Linked DNA regions of Mus musculus. The protein of the gene in region 4 interacts with the protein of the main gene of each other region in a biochemical or structural test. Links are inferred from orthologs where the notes say so. Each region holds a gene or a part of one and is shown on either strand. Other genes may lie near its edges.

Region 1 (3,500 bases), on a different chromosome or scaffold from region 4:
CTGGTGCATATAAGTTTGATGCCTTGATCACCACTTTTGAGATGATTTTGTCAGACTGTCCTGAGCTTCGTGAAATTGAATGGCGTTGTGTTATCATTGATGAAGCCCATAGGCTGAAGAACCGTAATTGCAAGCTACTTGATAGTCTCAAGCACATGGACCTGGTGAGTTTCCTAAGATGACTTGTAGACACTCTGAAATTGAATCTGATTTCCCTGTGAAATGAAAATTGCTCTAACTTAGCAGAGAACAATGGAACCTATATTAAGGGCCCTGGAGATCGTGTAAACGTCTTAAGTTTTCGGTTTGGAAATGAATTATGAATGGGTGCTTCTTAGTCACAAGGAGCAATGGAAATATGCCTTAGTTACCTACCCCAAAGATTCATATCTAAAACAACAACTCTGTTTTTCATGATTCTCTAATTGAACCATTTGGGCCATATTCATATAGTCTCTCCTAGGTGTTTGTTTGATTTGGTCTTTTGGGACAGGGTTTCTCTGTGTAGCCCTGGATGTCCTGGAACTCACTCTTTAGACCTGGCTGGCCTTAAACTCAGAGATCCTCCTGCCTCTGCCTCCCCAGTGCTGGGATCACCGCACCCAACCTTTCCTGGGTTATTAATGTTGCTGCACTCGGCTGTTGATACTAGTTATTCTTTGGAGCACTTATATGTATGGCACATGGCCTCAAACCTTCTAGTGGGCCAGATTAGGTGGGCTTCTCTACAAAGTGATATCAGGCCAGATCACTTCCTCAGATCACTTCCTCAGGTTCTGCCCATATCACGTGTGGCATCATCTGTAGTCTTCAGATATTGGGAAACTATTTTTCTGTATTTCCATATTGAAAAGGGTCAAGTGGCCTTGAGCTATGAGACTCAAGGTGTATTCTTTTTGTCAGAGCTAGCCAAAAGGGAAGCCTGAATTCAAGGGGGTGAACCTTACTTCAAGAAACTACAGTTTCTTTAGTCCACTATGGAAACATTTTACAGAGAGACATATTAGGATTTCTTTGCATAGTTGAATATGGAGAGACATGAATTTAGAAATAATGTAATCTGAGTCACTAGTACTTTATTTGGCTTAAGTCAGTATTTAGTTTCAATATGTTAGATAAGGGCATTTCTTAAATGGTTTTTGTTAATAAGTAAGCAAGAAAAAGAAAAGTTGAGCTGGGCGTGGTGGCAGACGCCTTTAATCCCAGCACTTGGGAGGCAGAGACAGGCGGATTTCTGAGTTCTAGGCCAGTCTGGTCTACAAAGTGAGTTCCAGGATAGCCAGGGCTATACAGAGAAACCCTGCCTCGAAACCTCCCCCACCCCCACAAAAAAAAAAAAAAAAAAAAGAAAAGCTAAGACAGAAATCTGATCTATTACCAGTAGATAAACTAAAACTAACTGTATCCTTAATGGGGTTTCTGCACATTCTCTTCTCGCTTACAGGAGCATAAAGTGTTACTCACAGGGACACCGTTACAAAATACCGTAGAGGAACTGTTCAGTCTACTGCATTTCTTGGAACCTTCTCAGTTCCCCTCAGAATCAGAATTCCTTAAGGATTTTGGGGATCTCAAGACCGAGGAGCAGGTAAGCCACCTGTCTGATAAGCTATGATTACCTTGGGCCTTCCTCAGGTTTTGCCCATATCACTTGTGACATTATCTGTAGTCTTGAGATAGTGGGAAACTATTTTTTTGTGTTTCCATATAATCTTATTTGTTTCTTTTTCTCTTTATGATACAATGTAAAGTGAGTGATTTTTTTTTTCCTCTTTATAATGAACCACAGGTTCAAAAGCTTCAGGCCATTCTAAAGCCAATGATGCTGAGGAGACTCAAAGAGGATGTTGAAAAAAATTTGGCTCCCAAACAGGAAACTATTATTGAAGTAGAGCTAACCAACATCCAGAAGAAATACTACAGAGCTATTTTAGAGAAGAATTTCTCCTTCCTTTCCAAAGGGGCAGGTCATACCAATATGCCTAATCTACTGAACACAATGATGGAGCTACGAAAGTGCTGCAATCACCCGTACCTCATCAATGGTGAGGAATTCAAAGTCTTAAAGAGAGCCGTGTGTTGACTGAACCGTAACTAGGAATTAGGCGCAGTGGTTTAGGAAAGGATTCTCTTAGTATTTTGTGTGTGTGTGTGTGTGTGTGTGTGTGTGTGTGTAGGAGTGCCACAGCACACGTGGAGTTGAGAGGACGGTATTGTAAGTCTGCTCTCCTTCTACGTTCCTGTGGGTCACAGGGATCAGACTCTGGCTGCCAGGTTTACACAGCAAGCACCTTTATCTATTGAGCTGTCTTGCCAACCACCCTCTCTTATCACTTCTGTTTCCTTGGTTTTACATAGTCCCTCAAATTGAATACGATTTTCTATGTACAATTTCATGACTAAGAACTCAAGTTATTCTTTGTCCTGGGTAAAATTTCTTGTACTTCATTTTGGATTTGGGGTAGGGGAACAGGTATGTTCCATTTTAGTTCTTGTCTGTTATTTATGTGTTCTTAAAATTCAGTTATTCAGGAAAGCCTTGCCTTAGAATGTGTTGTATAGAAAAATAGATTAGTTTGGATATTTTCTTGCTGAACTTTCTGTAAGAAATGTTGATATTATTGTTAAAAGGAGATGGACAAGAGCATTTGCTGCACAAGCATCAGGACCTGAATTTGAATTCCCAGTACCCATATGAAAAATTGGGCATGGCCACTCACATCTTAAATGCCTCTTGGGGTAGAAATAAGAGGACTTCTGGGTATGTTAGGAGCTGGACTAGCTCCAGGTTGTTTCATATGAGACCCTCTGTCAGTAGAAGGTGACAGAGGATGGTAGAGCAGAACACCTGACATCCTAGTTTGACTTCCTAGTGAACTTGGGCATGCTCCTGGGCTCAAATTCACATGGGAATGCAAGTGCTGGTATGCATGCATTTCTGTCTAGAGAAGGAGGGAGGGAGGGAGGGAGGGAGGGAGGGAGGGAGGGAGGGAGGGAGGGAGGGAGGGAGGAAGGAAGGAAAGGTAAAAGATCATACTACTTAAGTGAGTGTGGTGGCGCATGCCTTTAATCTCAGCACTCCAGAGGCAGAGGCAGGCGGATTACTGAGAGTTTTGAGGCCAGCCTGGTCTACAAAGTGAGTTCCAGGACAGCCAGGGCCACACAGAGAAACCCTGTGCTGTGGAAGAGGGGACAACTACAAAGAGATCATGATTCTTTTCTTTGACTATTTACTTCAAGCCACTGTCTTAAATAAGACTATATGTTTTACTTATTCCCAACATTAACTTTGTCTATTTTATTTGCAGGTGCAGAAGAGAAAATCCTGATGGAATTTCGGGAAGCTTGCCATATTATACCTCAAGATTTCCACCTGCAGGCTATGGTTCGGTCAGCTGGCAAGTTAGTTCTCATTGACAAGTTACTTCCAAAGCTTAAAGCTGGTGGCCATAAAGTTCTGATCTTCTCCCAGATGGTACGCTGTCTAGACATTCTGGAGG
Region 2 (4,174 bases), on a different chromosome or scaffold from region 4:
TGTTTCTTTTAAGCTCAACAGAACCCTGATTTTAACCACTGAACATTTTTTTTTTTTTTTTTTTTTTTTTTTTTTTTGAGACAGGGTTTCTCTGTGTAGCTCTGGCTGTCCTGGAACTCACTCTGTAGACCAGGCTGGCCTCCAACTCAGAAATCCACCTGCCTCAGCCTCCCAGGTCCTGGGATTAAAGACGTGTACCACCACTGCTCGGCTCAGAAGGAACATTTTAAAACTAGCCCAAGGGAGGTGTAACTAGGGTACTGGCCTAACACGCAGAAAGCCCTGAGTTAGATCTCCCAGCATGCTATAAACCGGTTATGGTGTGCACACCTGTAATTCCGGTACTCAGGAAATAGAGGCAAAAGGATCTGGAGTTCGAGGCCATCCTCCGTTATATAGCAAGTTCGATGTCATGCTGTCTGAAAAACAACAGGAGCCCGAATATAAAAGCGGGAAGGAACCGATCATTTCACTCTGTGCGTCGGTAGGCAAAGCGCCTGAGTCACCCCTCCTGGTTGTATTTTTCCACCTCCCACCCCTCCCAGGTTTTGGTGGATTCTAAGGGAAGCAGCCCGTTACGCCGGGCTCCGCACGCCTGGCCACGCCTCTCTCGTTAGCCCCGCCCACAACCGGATCGGCAGATTCGCTACCCGACTCCTTAGGATTATTTGGGCAGCTTTTCTTGTCTGAAAATTTTCAGGAAACGCCGAGAAGACTTCTTCCTTGTAACCATTTCGCACTAAGTAGGAAGTGTGCTGTTCCTTGAGTCGTTCTACTGAAAAAAAAAAAAATCCAGGACTAGAGGTCGACTCTGCCAACAGGGCTTGGCGAGCCAGGCGTCATTTTCTTGACTCTACAGCAGGTGAGAAGAGGTGACGGCCAAAGCCCAGGACGGTGGCGAATCTGCACTGCAGCCTCATAGGCATTCGGGCTGCGCAAGGAAGGGGCAGGGAAGAGGAGCCGAGGAGCGCGCATCCTGTCCACTCATTCGCCCCGCCCGCCTCGCGAATCTGCGTCGTTGGACGCGCCACTCAAATCTCCCGAGCTCTGGCTGGCGTCCTCCCCCTCGCTCCGCCCCCTTCCCTCAGGGGCTCGTCGCAGCTTTCGTCGCCGCCGATTCGCCAGGAACCCCAAGGCCGGAGCAGCTGGATCAGGGTGGTGCGGTCCACTCTCCGGGGAATGCGGCCCATCTTCAGGCTCCCTGGGCTACAACTCCCGAGCCTCGCAGGGCGCCGGCCGAGGCAAGGCCGCTACCCTCGGCCCCGTGGATCGCTCCGCAGTCCTTGTAGCGAAAGTGCGGATGCAGACGCTGTGCCCGCTGGGCCTCGCGCAGGTGGCGGTGGTGTTTGGTGCGCGCGCCGGGGAGGTGGTGGTGGGGGGGCGCCGCCGCCGCCACCGCTGCGGGGCCGGGTCTCGCGCTGCCGCCGCCGCCGCCGCCGCCTCACGCCGCTGAGGTGCTGCGCGCGGTGGGGGGAGGGTGAGCCGCTCGCCACGAGCGGGTGAGTAGGGCCCCGGCGCGCGTGCGCGCCGACGGGGTGGGGGGGGTGGACGACACCGAACGCGCCCGGGCGGGAGGAGAGGGCAGCGGCGCGCGTTACCTCCCCCCACCCCCCCGCCTGGATTCAGGGACCGAAGCTGGGTCTCAGATTCGGTCTCGCGGTGTTTCCAACGCCCCGAAGAGGTGCCACCTCTGGTTCGGAGGATCGGGGCGCGGGGACGCGAGCGGCTGTGTGGGAGCGGGAGCGGGGCTCGGCCCGGGCCGCTTGGCCGGTGAGGAGGCGGGAGGGGGCGGGGCCTGCGAGGGGACGGGGGAGGGGTCTTGCGTGGAGGCCAAGTGGGGCGCGCTGGGGAGAGCGGGAAGGTAAGGGGGCGCGAGATGGGCCTGGGCCCTGAGGGTAGAATTGGGGATGGAGAGGAATGGAGTGCCATAGTGAGCCCAGCTCCTCAGGGCAAGATCTGAGGGAGCCACGGGTCATGCTGAGGTGTCGGGGACTGGACTGATGTGAGACCCTGGAATCGGGGCTAGACATTGAGGGGACAGCAAGGGAGTCAGGCCTAAGTCGTGGACTCCCATTCCGTATCCCTCTTTTCCTGACAGTGTAAATGAGCAAAGATGGACCAGGAAGGTGGGGGAGACGGGCAGAAAGCCCCGAGCTTCCAGTGGCGGAACTACAAGCTCATAGTGGATCCTGCTTTGGACCCTGCTTTGCGCAGGCCTTCCCAGAAGGTGTACCGCTATGACGGAGTCCACTTCAGTGTCAGTGTGAGTGCCCTCGAGCCTTTCTTGACTTATTTGGACCTCCAATCTCCCCTCCCCGCTTCCCCCTGTTCAGTATTCAACACCCAGACTTCCTATACCTGTAGTTTGGTTTTTTGAGAATGAGCAAGCTCTCCCAGCTCTTCTGTATGTTGGCTTCTACATGGGCTTTATAGAGTCAGTAGGCTGGTGAATTTTCAGCCTGGTTTCATCTCTTCCTGCTTTCTTTGTTAGGACTCAAAGTATACCCCCGTGGAAGACCTCCAGGACCCCCGCTGTCATGTCAGGTCCAAAGCCAGAGACTTTTCCCTCCCGGTTCCTAAGTTTAAGGTGAGTGCCTGCTGGTCTCCCTGCATGTTGGTCCTTGGAGAGTGTCAAGGACCCTGGGCTTCACACAGTCTACCAAAGTGTTTATTCCGAAGGAACTATGACAGCCAGATCTCATTGCTTTTTGTGTCTGTGAGACTGAGATGTTTTGGACAGAAGGTATACATGTATAGCTGAGGTGACTCTAGTATATATCTGGTGACAAGGGTATTGATGTCTGGAAGGATGAGGTATGGGTGGGTATTCTGAAGCCTTGTGACAGTGGGATAGCCAAGTTATTCAGCAATTAAGGATGCTGCTAAGACCACTGTGCACTTGGAGTTGTGTGTTCTTGCTGTCATTGTGTGTGCTCCTCTGTCCTGTCTGTACGAGCAGCTTGCTTCCCTACTGTAATAAGATATTCTTCAAACTTCGGACTGTCTCGAAAATTGGTAGTTCTTTGTCTCCTCCTAATTTTGTTTTTGTTTTCTTTTACTGATTATTGGTAAAGTAAGTTGTGCAGTGGCTTCACCCTTCTGAATCCCCCCTTTCTTGAGCAGCTTTACTGAAAGCTCTTCTGTCTGAATGTTTATGTCTCATACCTCCTTCCTGCCAGCATCTACTGAGACACTAAAACATCATCTTTCTTCCCTGAGTCCTGCTCTCCTCACTTCCTCTTGACTGATGAATGGCAATACCAGGTACTCGGGTACCCAAGCTGGAAGCCTGGAGTCACCCAGTAGTTCTTTCCTTTCGTCTTAATCTTTAGGTTTCCATTGCCATGTTCTTCATGCAGAGTCCGATGTTTGCTCGCTTTCTGCAGCTTTCCTCAGTTTTAGGCTCCATCTTGCTGTTGTCACTGGTTTTAATGTTCTTATTTTAATTTTGTTTTCCAAGTCTGTTTTTCTTTTTTATTATATTATTTTTCATGTGTGTACATTCATAAATAAGCTTGCATGCCATTGTGCACATGTAGAAGTTAGAGCACAACTTGTGGGAATTGGTTTTCATCATGGGTCCTAGTGGTCAAACTCAAGGTTGTCAGGCTTGGTGACAAGTGTCTGTACCTACTGAGCCATATTGCTGGCATCCTAAGTCTGTTTTGAGGCATTGACATGTGTGGTTATTGATCTGGGCAGGCCTTATCACCTCTTTGACACCATATCCCTGTAATATTCCACCAGACACTTTTCAGTGTTTAGAAAATATCAAGATGGATAAATTTCATGTCTTGGAAGTTTGTTGTTTTGGTAAACTTTAAGCATCTACAGAGTCCAGAAAGAATGATAGCGGCTCCCCAATACCCTGTCTCTACATCTTTGCTACCACTGTGTTATATTTATATTTATATCTGGCTTATCTTTTTTTTTTTTTGAAACAAGTACTCCCTAGGTAGCCGCTGGCCTTGAACTAAGAATCCTGTGCTTCAGCCTCCCATGTGCTAGCATTGTAAGAGTGCACGGCACACTCGGCTCTGTCTTGTCTCTTTTCTGAATGGGAACTTTTCCTTTTTTTCTGTTTCTAGTAATTAGCTTATGCTAGTCTGTAACCCTGAACTAATAGATTACTTTCTTCTATTACTTTGTCCTATGTATGTTAATTCTTGTTTTG
Region 3 (3,500 bases), on a different chromosome or scaffold from region 4:
CTGATAGGAGGTGGGTGGTGGCAGTGCACTTTTTTTTTTAAGATTTATTTATTTATTTTGTTTATATAAGTACAGTGTAGCTGTCCTGAGACACACCAGAAGGGGGCATCAGATCCCATTACAAATGATTGTGAGCCACCATCTGGTTGCTGGAAATTTAATTTAGGAAGAGCAGTCAGTGCTCTTAACCACTGAGCCATCTCTCCAACCCAGAGACGGCATAGTTCTTTAACACTCAGGAGGCAGAGGCAGGCCTGGTCTACAGAAAGAGTTCCAGGACAGCCAGGGCTACAGAGAAACCTTAAACCTTGCCTCCAAGAAACCAAAACAAACAAAGGAGACTGATAGGAAGACAGATGCTCTAAGCCTCCTGAAGCCAGGAGGCGGGGGCAGATCCAGAGAGGGTGTGACAGGGCCTTGTCTGTCCCTTTTTGACTTGTCATCCCCCGTTGTGCCAGCAGGGTATGAGTATCCCAGCCCAGCCCCATGCCTCTACTCGGGCAGGCTCAGAGCGGCGGTCTGAGCAGAGGCGCCTCTTGTCCTCCTTCACCGGCAGCTGTGACAGCGACCTGCTCAAGTTCAACCAGCTCAAGGTGAGGCTAGACCTCCTCCGGGGCAGCCAGGTCAGTGTGGGACCTGAGTCCTCACAAATCCTGTCCCTCCCTCCCGTGTCCCCTAGTTTCGAAAGAAGAAGCTCAAATTCTGTAAGAGCCACATTCACGACTGGGGCCTGTTTGCCATGGAGCCAATTGCTGCTGACGAGATGGTCATCGAGTACGTGGGCCAGAACATCCGCCAGGTAGGTGCTGCCCAGGGCGCTGGTGAGGGGTGGCAGGGGCACGGAGCAGGCCCAGACTTAAGGCTCTTTCTACCACCAGGTGATTGCGGACATGAGGGAGAAACGGTATGAGGATGAAGGCATCGGTAGCAGCTACATGTTCAGAGTAGACCATGACACCATCATCGACGCCACCAAGTGCGGCAACTTTGCACGCTTCATTAACCACAGCTGCAATGTAAGTGCCCAGTGAGGGACCGGGGTGTCCCCACCTCTGTACTGAGGACCCCAGGAACTCAGGCACTGCAATCGTGTTCAGTCTCCTTTCCAGGCTTCATTTGACCCACAGGTGACAGGGAGGGAGAGAGGAGATGAGAAGCCTGAATAAGGGGCTTTTCTCTTGAGCTCAGTTGTTATGTCTGTACAATGGGCGCAGTAGGAATTCTGGAGTCATATGAAAGACGGAAGGTGTCCAAGAGGTGGGCTGAGGCCAGGTGTGATGGTGCGCACCTTTAAACCCAGCATTTAGGTGATGGAGGCAGGTGAATTTCTGCGAGCTAGCCTGGTCAACATAGTGAGCTCTGAACTAGCCAAGATAACACAAGATGGTAATTGGTCTCATTGCTCGGTAAATTGGTTTTGCAAGTCTCTTGCAAGCACAGAGACTTGAGTTCAGCCCCCAGAACCCACATAAAAGGGGTGTGGTGGGGTACCCGTGCTGGGGAGGTGGGAACAGAATTCTCCGAGCGAATCTAGGGAGCTGCAGGCTAGGGAGACAGTGTTGTAGCACTGATGCCAACCAGGTGAGTGATAGTGACAGAAGTAGGGACATGATGGGGAGGAGCCAGAGCCAGCTAGAAGGGAGACTTGGGGAGAGGGAGGACTTGGGGAGGATTTTGGCTTCAGGCTCCTAGTGAAGTGAGCTTGCTGATCTCTGTAGTAACTATTTACCTTGCTCTCCACAAGTGATAGACCAATGAAAAACAGCAAGACTGTGCCAATAAAACTTTATTTACTAAAGCAGGCAAGTAGGGCCTACCATTTATAGACCCCTTATCGAGGGCTCAGAAATGACACTTGAGTAGAAGTAAAGATTCAGGCCTCTCTTGCAGTATGTCTGATGAGGAAGAATTGTGGTCCTTCTTAAAGACTTAGTTGTTTTTTAAACGTGTGTGGATGTTTTACTAGTATGTATGTATGTATGTATGTACATACACTGCATGTGTTCCTGGTACCCAGAGGAGCCTGAAGAGGGCACCTGACTGAGGAGTTAGGGGATAGTAGTGAGCCACCCCATGGAGGATGGGAACCAAACTTAGGTCCTCTGCAAGAATTGCAAGTCTTCTTAACTTCTGAGCCATCTCTCTCTCTCTCTGGCCTCCGCATCTTTTTTATTTGGTACTGGTCATGGGAGGAGCTAGCCGGAGAGCCATTCGTGGAGCTGATACCCACGAGTTGGCTTCTATAACTCCATGGCGAGGATTGGGTTGGGGCTCCCGACCCCGTCTTTTTTTTTTTTTTTAGCTTTTAAAAGGAAGATTTATTTGACAAGGTTCACTTAGCGCAATACACCTAAAAAGAAATCACAATACAATGAAAGACTTAAATCAAGGCCTCAGAATTTCATACAAACACTAAGACCAAAAATCCTAAAAAATAATGGTATTGTCTCTTAAAACTTCTCCATTAACTTAAAAATAAAAAAAAGAGCTTTAAACTCACGTGCCTTACAGGTTATCAAATGAATTTAGAATTAACAAACATAGCCGGGCGTGGTGGCGCACGCCTTTAATCCCAGCACTCGGGAGGCAGAGGCAGGCGGATTTCTGAGTTCGAGGCCAGCCTGGTCTACAAAGTGAGCTCCAGGACAGCCAGGGCTACACAGAGAAACCCTGTCTCGAAAAACCAAAAAAAAAAAAAAAAAAAAAAAAAAAAGAATTAACAAACATGCCAAATGTATCACTTTAATTGTAGACGCAGCTCCTATAGTTTTACAAAAAAGCATGTTTTTTCAACATGCATCAACAGTGTTCAATGTATGTATAAGAGCAACATTTAACATAATTCAACTGCTTTAACCTAAATACACTTACTGCTTACGTACATCCTACAGTAACTAGAGAAAAGCTAGGAATTAAGTTTAACAGTTCCAGTTCACTCGGCTTTGCTCTATCATCCTAGATGACTGCTATGTTCAACATTGAACCTTCTTTGAGCGATGCCAATGTTCACTTAAGAGCAGGCATAAAACCACAAGGCTGGATGGATTGCAAAATCTGTTAAACTGAGGGGTTTTAAAAAAAATTTCTTTTTGACCAAGATCCCGACCCCGTCTTAACCGCATCACCACCCTGTCTTGCAGCCCAACTGCTACGCCAAGGTGATCACGGTGGAGTCCCAGAAGAAGATCGTCATCTACTCTAAGCAGCACATCAACGTCAACGAGGAGATCACGTACGACTACAAGTTCCCGATCGAAGATGTCAAGATCCCCTGCCTCTGTGGCTCCGAGAACTGCCGGGGGACCCTCAATTAGTCCCCGCGTGCCAAAGGCCGAGGATGTCAGCCGTAGCCCAGGAGAACCCTCGCTCGCCCTGGGCCAGGCTCCACACACACCCCCACCCACTTCAGGTGCTGTCCTTATCCCCAGCAGCCGCACTAGGGCCTGGCGCCCCCAACACTATCCCAGGACCCACCCGCAGCCCCAGCCCCGCAGCGGGAA
Region 4 (4,133 bases):
GGGATGAGGATGGAGGTGGACAGGTTTGAATGTTATCTGAGAGGTGGGTGGCAGAGGATTAGGTTTGGTTTCCAGTCCGGTTAGCTAGGCAGATACGGAGATGTTATTCTTACCATCCCATGCTCCACTCCATCCAGGGCTCCTGGCATAGGTCTGTTAGACACACAGATTCGTCTGAACTGTTTCTGTGCCTTTAGCAGGAGATTCCAGGCCAATGTCAGTCTTCTCACACTCTTGTAGCTATGGCAACCACACACTCTCCATTCTCAAGCTTCAGTTGCTTAGTCCCTCCCTCTGCACAGGTTCCCCACGCGTTATATTTGATATTCCCAGACTGGAAGATGAGGCTGCACAGGTCATAGCCACCTCCAAGAGTCTAAGACCATGTGAGTTAGACAGTGAAGTGAGAGGTGCAGACCTGGCTCCAGGTTCTCCTTCTGTCCCTGTGTCCTCCTCTCTGGGTGTTTTCCCCGTTAGTGACAGGAGTAGAGGTGGTCCAACAGGAAAGAGGGCTGTCAAAACTTTGCTAACTGCAGGCCGGCCAGCCTGCTAGGGGCTGTCTTGTGAAAATGAGATAAAGCCTTTAAAATGGAGCTCCAGAGCCACACAGGAGCCAGATTGTAGTGGATGCTGTGGCTGCCTGGAATGTGAACTGCCTGAGCCTACATTCAGGTGCAACTGCATCGTTCCAGATGCATGCATAGCTGGAGGACTTGGAGCCCCTGTGTTAGGGACACTTGCCTTTCCTGTCCACATTCTTTCTTGTTTGTCTTCTAAGTCAGGTAGCTCCTCTCTTGTCAGCGTGCAGGCTTCCTTCTCTACAGTAGTGCCCTGCCTTCCCTGGACACTACTGTAGATCTCTCCCTGCAGCGGTAGCTCCTAAGACCTTTTTCGGAGTGTGTCTGTGTGGGGTGGTGGTGGTGGTACAGCGTAGCCTCCTTATGGCCCTGTAGAAGAGAGGCAAGTATGTTCAATTTGAGCTGTGGTTTGCAGCGGCAGGAAGCCCCCCGCCTTGCGGTAGGCTGGGGAGGCCGCAGGAGCTCCGGACTTCCGGACCTCGTGGACATCCACCAGTGGCACCAAGAGGTTTCCCAACAGTCCTGGGCAGGCACGGGCCAGCACAGGCAAATTGTAACTGTTAGCTTGGCTACACAGCCTAGAATAACAGGAGAGGCACCTAAGCACGTTCTCACCCATCTTTAATTCTAGAGTGCTCCAGTCTGCAGTTACCGAACACCAGTAGCGGTCAAATAGGAAGCGAGAACCACAGACGGCCCCTTTAAGGCGCTCCGCCTCCTCTAGTTTTTCTGACCCTCGTCGCCGCCCGTTGTCCCGCCCCTCGCGCACGCGCAATCCCTCCCGCCTCCCGCGCCGCTGCCGCCTAGTCCAGCAGATCGTCTGCTCTCGCGCGTAGGGCTAGCCGACGCGACGCCAGAGCGCCCGGCCCCGCCGCCGCGGCCCCGGCAGGTAAGCGAGAAACCCGGTCCCGCGGGCGCGAGGCGAGCGGCGGCCACGAGGGCCCTCGGGCTCCGGGCTCCACAGCGCCGCACGTGTTCCGAGGGCCTCGGGCCGGGCCGGACGCCGCATTTGCGGCCGCGCCCCGACCCCGCCGCCCCTTGTGGCCGCCACGGCCCGCTACTTCCACTGCGGCCCCTGCTACGCCCCTAGACCCTTAGTCCTGCGAGCTTCTCGAGACTCACACCTCAGACTGGCGTCACTGGGAGTGGAATTCTCTGTCTCATCGGGGACACCCAGCCAGCGTCGCGCAGGTTTCCTTGGCCACTTGGCGCCTCTCGTGCTGCGGGCACAACCCTCATTTGTGTCCTAGCGCAAGTTTCTACCTGACTAGGGCTGACCGGTCAAGGGTTTCTGAACATTGTCCGGGACAGCCGGGCAGTTGAGCGCACAGTGGTGTGAAGCCAAGGCTACTAGTACCTAGGTATCTAGGAGCCCAGAGAGGATGGGTTGGAGTTCTTTGTTGGGTTACCTACTGCACTCACCTGAGTGACTGAACCATTCTGTCTTCCCATACTTGTGTACTAGGGTGGAAACCAGGAGTCTACATTTGACTGGAGGGAGACTGATGGCTGCTGCCCTTCCATAGTCAGGCTCACTCTAGTGTAAAGCCCCGGCTGCGGCTGCCGGTTACCTACCTCCTTTGTGGGCAGTGGAGGCCAGCTCCAAACCACCTGCTGAGGATCCTGCTTAACCCAGCTTCCTCCCAGACCTGCCCTCCCCAAGTCCTGCTTTCCTGAGTGCTCTGTCTTGGACTCTACCCTGTGGAATTGGAAAGTGGTGGTCTCCTTTGAGCCGGTTTCAGGTTGATGCTAGCCTCACATTTAACTGCTTTGAATTCCTGAGCCTCCTGAATGCTGTGAGGCAGATTGGCTAATGTTGATATTCTTTCTTTCTTTCTTTCTTTCTTTCTTTCTTTCTTCCCCGTTTTTGTTTTTGTTTTTTGGTTGGTTGTTTGGGGCCCACATCCTTAGAGCTCTTCATCCTTAGAGCTGGAATTAAAGTGGGTGGTGCTACAACTAGTGTCTTCAGATGTTAATATTTGTCTTCCTGAAAGACCCAGCTTATTAACGATGTGATGGGCAGGGCTGGGTGGTGGTGTGCTTGTTGGCAAGGTCATCCACCTGCTGTTAGGTGAATCTCTTTATATGCTAAAAGAAGCTTAGTTCCTAGAGACTTCCCACACTGGAGATAGATCTGCCCTACACTGTTGGCCTTTCATTTCACTGGAGTAGGGAGATGAGATGCTGGTTGAAAGAGACTTTCTAGCCCTTTTCATTACTTAAGTCTCAGCTCCTGTTGCTACCTGTATGGTCCACAAAAGTGGTTGCTATGGGAACTCATGGCCATAGTTGCATTAAGAATAAGCACCAGGTCAGGCCTGGTAGTTGATTTATGCCTGTTACACCAACCATACCAAGCTTGAGACTGGTTTTTTAATACCAGTGCATAGCAAGACCCTGTCTCCAAAAAGCTAAAAGCACCAAGCAGCTGGTATTTCCTGGGCACAAGAGCTTTGTTTGTGGAGAGGCCCCTGGGACCTACCCTAGTCTGATCCTTGCACCTGGGCTTGAGCTACAGCGGATTTGACCTTGATGGAGATGGCTGCAGGTAAAACAGCTTGGCTGCACCTGTGTGGTGCATGGTGTTCCTGTTCTTTCCTCTAGGATTGAAGACTTTGAGGCATTGTTCTCTTTTGGTGTCCTTTCATCTTAGTCTTATGTGGGGGTCCATGTGAGGTTTCAGGTTTAACCTCAAAGCCAGACTTTACATTATGATTGCTCCTTACATTGATGGCTGAGGAATGTCTCAGTAGCTCTCCGTTAGAGGAGTACTAGCTCATTTCCCAGTCAGGTGGTGTGCTTTTCTGGATGCGTGCAGGTGATGGGCCCTCCTGTAAACTGCAGTAAACTGTTGCAGTTGCATACATGTTCAGGCTGAGTCTGTCCAGCTGACTGGAATAACTACTTTCCCTCAGACCTGCAGCTTATCTGCTGTTGTTTGTGCTGCTCCCCCAGAGGTTTCTTTCACATGGGGGCAGTGACTACTCTGTTTTATTCTTGGAGCGCTTTCGGTAGTACTTTGTGCACTGAGTCCCTGTGCTCTGTAAGCTCTAGGTATTGTTAAAGGCATGTTGCAGTTTATGAGGTCACAGGGAGCCACTGAGGAGGTGAGGCCACTGTGTTTCGTCAAATTATTTGGGTGTATTTTAGAATTTGGGTAAGTTCACAGACTTGTGCACAGAAAGTCTACCTCCTGTTACTTGGCCTGTTGTTTCTGTTAGAAAGCCTTTTAAATACTGTGTCAAGGGCTCTTTGAAGCAAACTCACATCCCTGTATACACCTGTCTGCTACAGTGGGAAGCCTAGGCCATCACACAGAGTGTCTGAAGCGTCAGCCCTGGGATAGGGTGACAGTTATCCCCAGCTTGGGACAGTTGATTTGTTGGAGGGTTCAATGTGGTGGTCGTGTTTCTCCTTTTTATTCTTTTATTTATTTATTTATTTATTTATTTATTATATGTAAGTACACCGTAGCTGTCTTCAGACGCACCAGAAGAGGGTATCAGATCTCATTACGGGTGGTTGTGAGCCACCATATGGTTGCTGGGATTTGAA
Region 5 (2,386 bases), on a different chromosome or scaffold from region 4:
CCGCACACCGCAGGCACGGGCTCGGGATTCCCCGCTTTGGCGTTCACCGGCGTCAGTTTAAACTACACATACACGTTTGGAAGCAAAACACCATGATTGTCAGTGAGTTCTATTTTTTAACCAAATCCGTAAAGATGCACCACAGTTTGATTTCTATCCTTTTCTGGACTCACGTTTTTTGAAATTATGTGGACGACATTTCTCATCCTCTGACGTGATCTAAATAATCATTATTACTATTGTTTGATACCCTGATTGTGACCTTTGGGGGAATCCTTGAATACAGCCCATGTTATCCTTGAAAGCCTTTGCTTCAGAAATCCTTTTTTTTTTTTTTTTCCTAATTTTCTTTCAGATCTAAAGATGTTTTATTTTGTTTGATAAAGCGTCATTTCAGTGTACTCTAAGCCTCAAAATTATTATCCTTCTGATTCAGCTACCGAGTACTGAAGTTATAAGCATGGACTACTGTTCTTTGAGTCATATCTTCTAGTTTTTTTTTTTTTTTAATTAACGTACGTTAACTGTGCTTAGTAATGGGTTTCATTTTGATAACTTCACACACACACACACACACACACACACACACACACACACACACACACCAGCTCTCCCCTTTTTTTCCTCTTCCCTCTGGTCCCTTTCTCTCTATAAATACCACCCCGACCCCATTTTTATGCTTTTTTTTTTTTTTTTTTTTTAATCTAGCTTCCACATGCTAGAGAACCCATGCCATGCTTTTCTTCCTGCCTGGATCCAGCTTACTTAACACTGTGATCTTGAGTTCTTTCCATTGTTCCAGCAAACGACACAATTTCTTTTCGTTTTTCTCTTTATTTTTTTCCATCTCTACCCCTCCCTATTTTTAAAAAATAGTGTTAATACTATGTAGCCCTGGCTAACCTCAAACACACAGATATCCACCATCCTTTGCCTCCCGAGTCCTGGAATTAAGCTTAACTGCTGAGCTACCTCCAGCCCTCGCCCCCAGGGGCGTCCTCAGACCAGGTGGATGTTTTTTTAGTATTCCAGAACTCAGGAAAACTATGCCTCGTTGTTATATAAAGGAAGCATGCAGAAAGGTTCTAGAAGGTTCTTTGTGTCTTGGGAGTCGAGGCAAGATTGTTTTGTTTTTTTATTTAACAACAACAATAAAAGCTCCAAGAAAGCGACTTGAGTTTTTTCCACAGACCCCGCTGCCCTCCTACCGAGCCGCAACTAACAGTTCCAGAGTCCACACCACTCAGAGAGAATATAAGAGGCAGGGTGTAAAGTCAATCCCCCAATGGACCAATCAGAGTGCAGCATCCCATAATGCCACCTGGTGGGCAGCCAATAGGAATGTAGCTGGGTCTATAAAAGCAGTGCTACTCGCCCCCCACATTGTGCACCTGAGGAGCAAGGGAGGCGGACGATTCAGGAAGATGGCACGCACCAAGCAGACGGCACGGAAGTCGACGGGAGGCAAGGCTCCGCGCAAGCAGCTAGCCACGAAGGTGGCCCGCAAGAGCGCCCCGGCCACCGGGGGCGTGAAGAAGCCGCACCGCTACCACCCTGGCACGGTGGCGCTGCGCGAGATCCGGCGCTACCAGAAGTCCACCGAGCTGCTGATTCGCAAGTTGCCATTCCAGCGCTTGGTGCGTGAGATCGCCCAGGACTTCAAGACCGACCTGCGCTTCCAGAGCTCCGCGGTGATGGCGCTGCAGGAGGCCTGCGAGTCGTACCTCGTGGGGCTGTTCGAAGACACGAACCTGTGCGCTATCCACGCCAAGCGGGTGACCATCATGCCCAAAGACATCCAGTTGGCTCGGCGCATCCGCGGAGAACGGGCTTAGGCTCCCACAGGCACCGCTCATGAACCCAACGGCTCTTTTCAGAGCCACCCACAGAGTCAGAAAAAGTGTCTGTAACGTAGACTTAGGTGTCCTGTCTCCTCAGGAGGTGAAGACAAGGTGGCCGGCAATCGAAGTGTCTCCCCAGATCAGTCTAGAGGGCTTAGCAGCTAATCCTTGCCCATTGAGCTATTTGACTTGCAGCTCCGTCCTATTCTAACCTGCCTTCCCTTGATAGGTATAGTGGCCTGAGCCCTTGTACTACAAGATGATGGTTGTGTTGCTGACTGGTTTTACCAAGTGAAGGTAGCTCCTACCGGCAGTAAACGTGCTATGTTTGCATAGTTGATAGTATCCAAACGCATCTGCTCAGTAACCAAGTTACTTATGTTTTGTGTTTTAAGGCTCATAATGCCTGGTATTAAAAAGGCTAGCTATTCCTGTACTTGAAAAGTTGGCCTTTCTCCTGATGGAAAGCCCAGTGAACTGCCTTTGATTAAAGTTAATTTTGCCCATCTGTTAACGGCGGCAGCAAAAGAGTCAGGAAAGTGTTA
Region 6 (3,500 bases), on a different chromosome or scaffold from region 4:
CTCAGACCAATCACAGTGACAGAGGAAAGACTGCTCTATTGACTACTGATCAAGATATGCTTGAGAAAAGATGTAACCAGGAGAATGCTGGGCCTGTTGTCAGTGCCATTCAAGGGTCCACTCCTCTGCCTGCTCGGGATGTGATGAACTCCTGTGACATAACAGGATCGACTCCAGTTCTCTCGAGTTTACTTTCTAATGAGAAGTGTGATGATTCAGACATTAGGCCTTCAGGGTCCTCCCCACCAAGTCTGCCCATCTCACCATCCACTCATGGGTCAAGTTTGCCTCCTACTTTAATAGTACCACCTAGCCCTCTTTTGGATAATACCGTGAATTCTAATGTAACAGTGGTCCCTAGGATAAACCATGCTTTTTCTCAGGGTGTGCCAGTAAATCCAGGATTCATTCAGGGCCAATCATCAGTGAACCATAATTTAGGGACAGGGAAACCTACAAATCAAACTGTGCCTCTCACGAATCAGTCCAGCACCATGTCTGGACCGCAGCAGCTCATGATTCCTCAAACATTAGCCCAGCAGAACAGAGAGAGGCCCCTCCTTCTAGAGGAACAGCCTCTGCTTCTACAAGATCTTTTGGATCAAGAGAGGCAGGAGCAGCAACAGCAAAGACAAATGCAAGCCATGATTCGTCAGCGGTCAGAACCATTCTTCCCTAACATTGGTAGGAAATTCCTTCTGTCTCAAAATAAGTTACTGGGGGCATCTGAGTACATGCAGCATGCTTGTAAATTTTCATTATTGAGATTACATTTGGATCAGTGTAATCTGAGAATTTTCTGTCTTCTCGGGTCTTTACAATGAAAAGATGAATTTTAGATTCCTTCCAGGTCAGTCAAAATTAAGATAACCTTGAATTGTTACCTCACTCAGTTCTGCTTTATATGGTGTTGATGGTGGTTTTAGTTTTATCTGCCAATTGTTATGAGAAATAAATGTAAGGAAATTATGATAGAAATAAAGTTTCTTGTTCTTTTGTGCACAAGTGTTTGGTAAAGGTTTTTTGCATTTTAGGGTTTTTTTTTTAATCCCCCACAGACACATCTTTCAACTTATTTTTGTTGTTTTATTAGTTTTAATAAAAACACAAGTCCATGTAACCCAAACACTTCAGTGCTTTGCCTAGAAGAATTAAGTCAGCAGGCATATATCTGAGGAGTATTTTTTTCTAACTAATAACAAAAAGCATTGTATCAACATGTGGTACAAATTCCATTATTTGACTCTTTTTTCCCACTTATATGTATGCAAAGAGATGCTCTCACTATCCTCATACTTTTATTTTGTAGGTATATCCTGGAGATATTGGTAGTTTTTTATTTCTTTTAAAAACTGATAACTAATTTAGAGGGATTCTTTAGTATTGGAAATAACTGTAAATTCTCATTCCTTTCAGTCCATTACTAAAAAAGATCATTCTAATTGGCACTGTGAAGGTTTGAGCCACTGGGACTCTCGTTGCTGAACATCACTGTTGTGATCCCCTGTAGACTGACAGACTTGTTTTAAAGTATGCTTCAGTTATAGACACCTAAAATGCAGCTACCATTTCTAGATTCCCTTATGTGGTGTAGAAACATATAATGATTCTTGAATAAGGTATAAGAATTTATAAATTATGTAATTGTGATACTTAATTTTACCACTTCATATATCTTGAGCCATGAACTTAAATTATGAAGTAAGTAATGTCAAAATACATTTCTTCTTTAGATTTTGATGCTATTACAGATCCTATAATGAAAGCGAAAATGGTAGCCCTTAAAGGCATAAATAAAGTGATGGCACAGAACAGTCTGGGCATGCCACCAATGGTGATGAGCAGGTAGGTAGAAGTGCTTTTTTTTTCTTCCTGGCATGTAGATGTACATAAAAACACCCCTACTTCTTAGAGCTCCTCAAAAGCCTACCTTCTGGTTGTAAAGAGTATTTCAATTCAGCTGAATGCAGGGAATTAATTTCCTTTCATTTTAGGGAAAATAAACAGAATAATATACCACTCAAACATTAGGAAGACTGACTTGGTCAGTGAGGAAATCCAAACTGTTTGTGTGTGTTTACTTTTTTATTTAAAGAAGTGTTAGCCTAAGATTTTCATTCAAGAATTTCAGTGGTTAAGGAAATTATCAATTTAGCTCTGAAATGAAATTGTCCCAACATGACTTTGAATTAGAAAAGGCAAAACAGTAATTTATGGAACATTTGGATACTGAGACTGGGATAGTTGGATAATTTTAACATCTAACAGAAAAATGGAAATTGTGTGTTCAAGAGAGATATTAGAGATGAGTAATCGTTAAGTTACAGTGGCTGTGTACCCCAGTGAAGTGCTGAATCTTGATCACTTTCTAACTTAAGGATTATTTGTGTGCCCCCATCACTACACTTTTAAATGCAGTTTCTATACCTTTCTACAGACCTAGTGAATGGGATTTTCTAGGAATGGTGTCTGAATGCTTGTATTTTTGACAAGTACCTTGAATGATCTTTGTGTTGTATTGCTGTTTCTGATTTCTGATCTCAATTTATTGTGATGATCTTGTTGAAAAATTATAATAGGGAGTGCAAATGATTGTAGAATTTAATATAGAATTGTATAAGTTGAAGATATAGACATAGGCTTTAGGGAACTGTGTAATACACTGAGTATGATTAAGACACATTTTTGATGTCAAAGTAAAGATAGTGATTTGTAAAGATTTTTACTACCTAGCTGGATTTATTAGCACTGTTCTTCCCTCAAGGTAACTTTATGGCATAAGCCTTTTTAACCTTAAAACCATGAAACCTTTGAAATTCTTTTCAGATATACAGGTAATAAAAATACAAATTCAAAAAGAAATAGACCACATTTGTAACATAGTTAATAATCTCTGATTATATTCTTGATATGTGTGTATCATAATGCATTAACAAACTTAGCTCTAAGTTTTATATTTTATAACAAGGTAAAGATTGGTAATTACCTACTATGAATGTGCAACACTTGTAGGAAAATCATGTTTCCTACTGGTGAGAGTATAGTATTAATAAATAATACTGTGATAAATAATAAATAATACTGTATTTTAACTTGATACTCAGAGTCAAGGAAATGCTAGATTTTGTTTGATCCTTAATTGTTTTCATGGGCCTCAGAATCAGAACTCTCAGCATCTCATATATGTTCAACATAAGTGTCTGTGCTCATTAGACATGCAATGCTTTATCAGCCACATGCTAAGTGTACTGGAGACCATTCTGAGTTCTTTGCAGAACTAAGGTAGTGCCTTCTGAGATTAGTGTAGTGTGTTACATGATGATGGCAGAGAGCAAGCATTAATCGGATTGGGATTATTTTGTACCAGAGCTGTAGTAGGGAGAAGGGAGATTAATGAATCAAACTTCTGAGGGAAAAAAAAATCACAAGTATACACTCTAAAGTCTAATAACATTTAAATGCTTCTTTATAATATTTTTGGATCTATTTTGAAATTGTGT

What was found.
Region 1: the proteins of Wdr5 (region 4) and Chd8 form a complex in vitro, tested with the Homo sapiens proteins (2 studies listed by BioGRID). The link is inferred for Mus musculus from reciprocal best matches to the Homo sapiens genes WDR5 and CHD8.
Region 2: the proteins of Wdr5 (region 4) and Setd1a form a complex in vitro, tested with the Homo sapiens proteins (4 studies listed by BioGRID, with this or other methods). The link is inferred for Mus musculus from reciprocal best matches to the Homo sapiens genes WDR5 and SETD1A.
Region 3: the proteins of Wdr5 (region 4) and Setd1b interact in a test that uses a peptide from one of them, tested with the Homo sapiens proteins (3 studies listed by BioGRID, with this or other methods). The link is inferred for Mus musculus from reciprocal best matches to the Homo sapiens genes WDR5 and SETD1B.
Region 5: the proteins of Wdr5 (region 4) and H3f4 form a complex in vitro, tested with the Homo sapiens proteins (4 studies listed by BioGRID, with this or other methods). The link is inferred for Mus musculus from reciprocal best matches to the Homo sapiens genes WDR5 and H3-4.
Region 6: the proteins of Wdr5 (region 4) and Kmt2c form a complex in vitro, tested with the Homo sapiens proteins (4 studies listed by BioGRID, with this or other methods). The link is inferred for Mus musculus from reciprocal best matches to the Homo sapiens genes WDR5 and KMT2C.

What each region holds. Positions count from the first base shown.
Region 1 is NC_000080.6:52,216,261-52,219,760, reverse strand, and holds part of Chd8 (chromodomain-helicase-DNA-binding protein 8), read left to right. Parts: coding exon 1-164; intron 165-1,444; coding exon 1,445-1,588; intron 1,589-1,789; coding exon 1,790-2,045; intron 2,046-3,308; coding exon 3,309-3,500. UniProt on the Homo sapiens protein: ATP-dependent chromatin-remodeling factor, it slides nucleosomes along DNA; nucleosome sliding requires ATP. Acts as a transcription repressor by remodeling chromatin structure and recruiting histone H1 to target genes.
Region 2 is NC_000073.6:127,776,015-127,780,188, forward strand, and holds the start of Setd1a (histone-lysine N-methyltransferase SETD1A), read left to right. Parts: upstream 1-1,374; 5' UTR 1,375-1,499; intron 1,500-2,098; 5' UTR 2,099-2,113; coding exon 2,114-2,263; intron 2,264-2,491; coding exon 2,492-2,587; intron 2,588-4,174. UniProt on the Homo sapiens protein: Histone methyltransferase that catalyzes methyl group transfer from S-adenosyl-L-methionine to the epsilon-amino group of 'Lys-4' of histone H3 (H3K4) via a non-processive mechanism.
Region 3 is NC_000071.6:123,162,693-123,166,192, forward strand, and holds part of Setd1b (histone-lysine N-methyltransferase SETD1B), read left to right. Parts: intron 1-458; coding exon of another isoform or gene 459-461; coding exon 462-593; intron 594-679; coding exon 680-799; intron 800-878; coding exon 879-1,016; intron 1,017-3,140; coding exon 3,141-3,314; 3' UTR 3,315-3,500. UniProt on the Homo sapiens protein: Histone methyltransferase that catalyzes methyl group transfer from S-adenosyl-L-methionine to the epsilon-amino group of 'Lys-4' of histone H3 (H3K4) via a non-processive mechanism.
Region 4 is NC_000068.7:27,513,814-27,517,946, forward strand, and holds the start of Wdr5 (WD repeat-containing protein 5), read left to right. Parts: upstream 1-1,333; 5' UTR 1,334-1,467; intron 1,468-1,492; exon of another isoform or gene 1,493-1,939; intron 1,940-4,133.
Region 5 is NC_000077.6:58,960,388-58,962,773, forward strand, and holds H3f4 (predicted gene 12260), read left to right. Parts: upstream 1-1,323; 5' UTR 1,324-1,424; coding exon 1,425-1,835; 3' UTR 1,836-1,886; downstream 1,887-2,386. UniProt on the Homo sapiens protein: Core component of nucleosome. Nucleosomes wrap and compact DNA into chromatin, limiting DNA accessibility to the cellular machineries which require DNA as a template.
Region 6 is NC_000071.6:25,306,784-25,310,283, reverse strand, and holds part of Kmt2c (histone-lysine N-methyltransferase 2C), read left to right. Parts: coding exon 1-684; intron 685-1,733; coding exon 1,734-1,845; intron 1,846-3,500. UniProt on the Homo sapiens protein: Histone methyltransferase that catalyzes methyl group transfer from S-adenosyl-L-methionine to the epsilon-amino group of 'Lys-4' of histone H3 (H3K4).